2 linked regions of the Arabidopsis thaliana genome follow. The protein of the gene in region 1 interacts with the protein of each later gene in a pairwise test. Each region holds a gene or a part of one and is shown on either strand. Other genes may lie near its edges. The genes, in order: AT4G37220 and AT3G29034.

Region 1 (3,638 bases):
AGAGAGACAAGGGAGTTCAAGTGGGCAAGAAGGTATGGATTATTGGGAATTGTCTTAGGTTAAGCTTATGGGTATAGATGCTTCTGCTTCTTTGTTTGCTGACTTCTTTTCTCCCTCATGTATAGGTTCTGGTGGTAAAGACCAAGGAGAGGATGGTGAAGATTGTCAAGATGATGACCTATCTGATGCTGATGGTGATGCTGATGAAGATGAGTCTGATTTGGATATGGCCTGGAAAATGCTGGACATTGCTAGGGTTATTACTGACAAACAGTCTACTGAGACAATGGAAAAAGTGGATATACTCTGTTCGCTTGCTGAAGTGTCCTTGGAAAGAGGTATTTTTTCTTCCTTTCACCTTTGCATTGTCTTATTTTCTCATGTCAGCTATTGGTTGGTTTTGAGTTCTGTTGTTTACTATGCAGAGGACATTGAGTCTTCCCTGTCTGACTACAAGAATGCATTATCCATCTTAGAGAGACTGGTTGAGCCCGACAGTCGACGCACAGCTGAATTGTATCCTTGTGGTTTCTTAAATTGTACCTGATTTTCGTTTCTGTCAATTCAGTTGTTGGATTATATCTTAACTTGAACGTTTCAGAAACTTCCGCATCTGCATTTGTCTTGAGACTGGATGTCAGCCTAAGGAAGCAATACCATATTGTCAAAAAGCTTTGTTAATATGCAAAGCTCGGATGGAGAGGCTCAGTAATGAAATCAAAGGTGCATCTGGTTCAGCAACTTCCTCAACCGTCTCTGAAATAGATGAAGGCATCCAACAATCATCCAATGTTCCTTACATTGATAAATCTGCTTCAGACAAAGAAGTTGAGATCGGAGACTTAGCTGGTCTCGCTGAAGATCTAGAAAAGAAGGCAAGTAAACTAAACCTATCAGTTCATTAAAATATCTCTAAACCCATACTAATGTCCAACATTTTTTTTCTGCAGCTTGAGGATTTAAAACAACAAGCAGAGAACCCAAAGCAGGTTCTTGCTGAGCTAATGGGCATGGTATCAGCTAAGCCAAATGCCAGTGACAAGGTTGTTCCTGCTGCTGCTGAAATGAGCTCTTCTAGGATGGGAACTGTGAACACCAATTTCGGGAAAGATTTAGAGTCGCCTACAGTCTCAACCGCTCATACCGGTGCAGCAGGAGGAGGAGCAGCATCAGGTGTTACTCACTTGGGTGTTGTTGGAAGAGGAGTGAAGAGAGTTTTGATGAATACAACCTCGATTGAATCAAGTGCATCAAAGAAACCAGCTCTAGAGTTTTCAGACAAAGCAGATGGCAACTCCTCTTGAAACCGGAAAAAGGTATAAAAATTCCTGTTACTAGTGAAGTATCTAACCTAAGAAAACTGAGAAAAACATTTGGTATCTTCCTCATGAATCTTCCAAGACTAGATTTTCAGGTTCATGTTTTGTAATGGAGTCCGTACTTGCTACTTTTTTAAATCGCTGAGATATTTTTTACTTTTTATTCTTGTTTAATCAGTCTTATTTTTTCAAAGTGTTTTTTAGTTTAGGCACAAAAGCAGAATCTTATTATCACATTATCAGTTGATAATCATCTGATGAGAAATAGTTCTTTGGAGATCTTTTAGGGAATTTTATAAGTAATAATTAAGGGATAATTGGATATCCTTTATTAAAAAATGTAGGCTACTTGTAGAATTAAAAACTGGAATCTTATAATATGATTAGTATAATAAGATTACGCTATATCTGGATTCTGGAGATATCATAGATAAGCTCTGTCTATGAAAACGAGACCCTTGGGGAAGCCACGTGTCAAATCTATCTCTGTCACCAGCGAAGCCTACGTGGCGAGCAGCTCCTAGAATATCCAAATTCACAACAGTATTTTTTTTTCTTTCGTTCTGATTCAACAGTTGTCACAAACAGCCAAGGTGTTTTGTGATTGGTTATAAATACTCTGCTATGTGAGAGAGTTTACTACATTCACAAACAAACTAAAACTTAAAAATGGGAAGGGGTGAGTTTTTGGCCATGAAGACTGAGGAGAACGCGGCTAACCTGATCAATTCCGATATGAATGAGTTCGTCGCCGCTGCAAAGAAGCTCGTGAAAGACGTAGGGATGCTCGGCGGGGTAGGTTTTGGCACGTCAGTCCTCCAATGGGCCGCTTCAATCTTCGCTATGTGAGCCAAAAGACAAAACCATATAACCTCTCTGGTTTTTGTTTGAATCATATATTGATATGATGGTTCTTATTGTTTTGCTTTGACAGTTATCTGTTGATATTGGATCGTACCAACTGGAAAACCAAAATGTTGACCACCCTTTTAGTACCATACATCTTTTTCACACTTCCTTCGGTTATCTTCCAGTTCTTTAGGTAATCAAGAAAAACTGTTCTTTAACATGATGTTATGGAGTTCTTTTGAAAATATAATCCATATTCGATATAATTTCACAGCGGAGACTTTGGGAAATGGATTGCTCTCATCGCGATCATAGTCAGGCTTTTCTTCCCTAAAGAATTTCCAGGTCAGAACCAGCAGTTTTCATGACTTAACATTAGTTTGAAACTTTGATCTTGAAAATCTTCTTTCTTTTTTGCATATAAATGTAGAGTGGCTAGAGATTCCGGTAGCATTGATTCTTATTGTGGTGGTGTCGCCGAGCCTTATAGCTTGGACACTAAGAGAAAGCTGGGTTGGAGCAGTCATATGTCTAGTAATAGCATGTTACCTTTTCCATGAACACATTAAAGCTTCAGGTGGATTCAAAAACTCTTTTACTCAAAAGAATGGAATCTCCAATACCATTGGGATCGTTGCCCTCCTCGTTTACCCGGTTTGGACCATCTTCTTTCACATCTTTTAAGTCAATCCGACCCATTGGTTTGTAGACACATTCAACATTTTGTGTCTTCAATTCGTTTTCAAGGTTTGAATTTTATAAGGAGCATTTGTGTTTGAGAAAGTCTTGAATATAAAAAAGAAGTTTCAATCGTGCACTGCTGACTTGTAAGATTGTTTTTTTTTTCTTGTAAATGTGTGACTTGTAAGATATATAAATAAATTTGCATATTGGTTGATTTGTTGAATCAATCTTGAATATTGTAGACTTTTTAATTGATCATGACTAATAGTTGTTTTTTGAAAATTGTTTTTCATTTCATTAACACCAAACAATAAAGCAACACAAATTTCTATCACCTCCTAGCATTGAACTACGTGCCGTTGTTCGTATCCAAAAGTGTATATTCTTGTAATCATTCACCGTCAAAGCTCAAGTAGTTAGTAGCACCACACCAGATTTCCAAAGCACAAAGCTCATGACTAGCCTTACCTACACACTCGATGAAATCGAAGGCCCTTTCGAAGTTGATTACGCAGCAGTGACAGTACACAACTTCCTGGTGGGGAGCGTGTACCGTTCTTGTTCACGATCAAGCAGCTCGTGGCATCGCAGAGGATACTTTGGTCCCAAGTCGATCCCTTCAGCATTCACCCAAGGCCACGTTGGAAATAAATCTGATCGTAAAACACAACATCTGCAGATTATTATCAATAAAAATTCAGAAATCAATAAAATTCACTCTGAAAACGCAGAAAATCTAAGGTAAATTCATAACGACCTTTTGAATTTCTAGTGTCGAAGCTGTAT
Region 2 (3,376 bases), on another chromosome or scaffold:
TTAAATAAATTGATTTGGTCATATATGTTATTAAAATGCACTATTTTTTTTTTTTGATTAAAAATCTAAAGAAAACTCTAAAGTTAAGCGCATTTAAAGTAAAGCAAACTTATGATGGGTGATTAACCGTGAATCGATTGTTAGTTCGTATGAGTGAAAACAAACACAAGAAAAAGATTATATGGTGAATTATAGAATCAGTAAACAAATATTTAAGCTTCCAGAAAAATGAACTGTCAGACGAGATTGGCCCATATACCGAGAAAAAACGTTTGGTCCATGAAAAGTGGTGGTCGTCGTCTCGTTACAGTTACGATGGATGATTTCTATGGATCTGAATGGTCACCGCGGTTTTTAGTGTACGGAGAAAGTATTATGACCGTGCAGTACGAATTAACTGCGGTAAGTGCGTGAAAAATATATTTGTGGGACAATTGTGGTTTGTACAAAATAAGCAGTACGGAATAATGTTTGATTGGTGAAAAATCTATTTGTGGTGCGGATTATAGATTATATATATATAAATATATATATTAATCATTATTTATTTTTTGTGTTAATAAATAAACAATAACATATATTTATAAACCATATACACAAATAAATCAAAATATACATTTTAAAGTTTAACATACATATTATTAAATCCGTTGAATAGTTTCATTATGGAAAATTAAAAAAAAAATCATTTTTACAAGTAATTTTTTTACAAGTAAATTGATTATAGAACGTATATAAGCTTATAGTAGATAATAATTGTCAAAATTTCTAAAAGCATTGTTATGTTTCTATTTCCTGTAATTGCATTTTCATAGTTTTTAATTAAATAAAACAAACTAGCTAAGACTGGTCTTTATCTCTTTCTTTGTACCCGGTTTATCCGGTTTAGTTTCCTCTATTATTGAAATCAACATTGGCACAAAAATAATAATATAAACAGCTGTTAAAAAATTAATTGATCTCTTTGTTGGAATGCACTTTTACTTAAAACCGCTAGGTAAAGAGTTTTTCTTCTTTTGGAAAGCGTTCCAATGTATTGTTCATTTGACAAATTAAATCGCAAACTTTTTTTTTTTCGAAAAACACAAATCAGTTAAAAGTATTGTGATTGGTACGGTATTGTGGTTTTAATCAAAAAAACACAGAAAAAAACGCCTTTTGTAAGTTTTCCAATTAGTCTATGTGTCAAGGTACATCTTTTATTTTTATTTTTTAAAGGTACATCTTTATATCTATAAGGGGTTCAGTTTTCTTGCATGCGTTATTCGTACTCCTATAAAACTCCATCATAGGTAAGTAAACAAAACTAAGAAAAGATCTAAGCTCTAAGCTCTGCGTACTTTCCTTCGCTTTATCTTGCCAGTAGCACTAGGCATTTGAAACTATGGAATAAAGCCGTTTTGATCCAACTTAGCAGCAACCAAATTGCAAACGAATAGAAAGAATGGTCAGAAACAAGATTGGTAGGTGGATCCAAGATAGCAAAAATATCTCTTCCTACTCAAGATGCAACAGATAAAAACAAACTTTTGAACCAAGAAAAGTCAATATTATACATTTATTAAGAAATCGAAGAGCAAGAATGCATCTCATTCTCATCCTTTGTGATGTTCTTGGAGTGCACAAGCATTTATTGGGCCAAAACTCCTACGCACATGATAACATGTCTTAGTAGATTTCTTATTGATAATACATGATAACATATCTTATTGTTAATAATATTAATTTAATTCACTGACCTGTTAAAATTTAGACAGAATGGCAATAACTTATATAGTGATAATTATTATTTTTTTATTTTATTTTTTAGACTAACATTATATAAGTGTAAACATGATACATCATATCTAAACTTCAACTCTCACCATTTGCTTTTTTATAACAAAATAGTAATTAAATTAATAATCTTGGATCTATACCGACCACTTACTCTTCTATAAGGAGTTGACTTTTCTGTCTATCAAAAGGCCTCAAAGCAATCCCCAAAAGACCACATTTTTGTCTCCATCATTAACTTATAATTACAAAATCACAACCAAACCAACATCATAAAATCATAATCAGAATCTCTTCATTCATCAAAGAATCTTAAAAATGGTGAGAGAAAGAAGAAAGACGGAGAAAGTAGAAGAGAAACGAGAACAAGAAGTTGTAGATCAAGAAGAGAAGGTGAAGCCGAGGCAAAGAAGCGTGAGCAGAAGAAACATGCAATCTCTGGTCATCGGACTCGTTGGAGGTGCGTTAACCCTCGGTGCTTATTCTCAGACATATGTTGATCCGGGCAAGTCTATTGGCGCTGGCCTCTTTGTCCTCTTCTTTGGCTTGCTTGTCAGTGAAGGTTTCATCTCTCTTTAAATAACAATATTTCTGTATAAGCAAATCAAACCTTCTTCTTTTGTTTATGTATATGACAAATATACATATCTATGAGCATCTTGTTTCATTTATATTTTATTTCACTTGTTGGATCTTGGACTTTTGATTAAAGTGACGAACACTATATTGTTTTTACGGATTATTGTTTATTTTTGGCTTGTAAGAATATGTTTTGATCTTTGATACAAATTTGAAAGAAAAGGATGCAACAATGTAATTTTGATCCTTGATAATATGTATGTCACGCAAGTAATATGAACGGAATGATACTCTTCAACATATTGGGCTAAAGTTGACTTTCTTTGGGGTACAAAAAGTTGACTTTGACTTGGTACATGTCTTAGCTGTAAATTAAGGAAAAGAAACTAAATTTGATGTAAAACATGTAATAAAATAAATCATGATAGTCATATACATATTGAACAAATCAACGCTATCTAAAATGTATACTTAAAATATTTCACATATTACCACAAAGAATATATATAATTACAAATATTATTTCTGCAGTAACTTAACTAAATAAAAACGATCATCACCTATCTTTCTATTTATTTTTATATAATATAATTAGATACTTAGCAACGTTACGTGTATAGTATTTAATAAATCATTACCACCTTCGACTACATTATCAAAATGAAACACCATTACACAACGACGATCGTGAGGAAATGTCCGGGCCGTATATAATTTTGCGTTAGATTCGTTATTGGGTCGCTTTAATTTGACTTCTTATGTGTTTTTTATTTTATGATAAATATTTTTTTAAAATTTCCATCAGACACTTGACTTTGTAAATATACACAATTTCTTTATGTATACAATATATATGCTAATGCCATCAGTCTCATAACATAAGGACTTAGGAAACATCATTTTCATATGCTGTGTTTGAACTTAAAAACATGATTGACTATCATTCTATCAAATTAAGAAAAGCATTATACATTTATTGGATGAAGAACGTAACAAAGCTAAAGCGGAGCTTAAAGATCAA

Evidence for each region.
Region 2: the proteins of AT4G37220 (region 1) and AT3G29034 interact in a protein complementation assay, tested with the Arabidopsis thaliana proteins (one large-scale study listed by BioGRID).

What each region holds. Positions count from the first base shown.
Region 1 is NC_003075.7:17,513,118-17,516,755, forward strand, and holds AT4G37220 (Cold acclimation protein WCOR413 family), read left to right. Parts: upstream 1-1,924; 5' UTR 1,925-1,988; coding exon 1,989-2,164; intron 2,165-2,253; coding exon 2,254-2,361; intron 2,362-2,442; coding exon 2,443-2,513; intron 2,514-2,598; coding exon 2,599-2,852; 3' UTR 2,853-3,045; downstream 3,046-3,638. Other genes in the region: AT4G37210 (Tetratricopeptide repeat (TPR)-like superfamily protein), read left to right, coding at 1-32, 126-338, 426-516, 602-875, 951-1,304; AT4G37230 (Photosystem II manganese-stabilising protein (PsbO) family), read left to right, coding at 3,307-3,511.
Region 2 is NC_003074.8:11,029,322-11,032,697, reverse strand, and holds AT3G29034 (uncharacterized protein), read left to right. Parts: upstream 1-1,791; 5' UTR 1,792-2,094; coding exon 2,095-2,355; 3' UTR 2,356-2,663; downstream 2,664-3,376.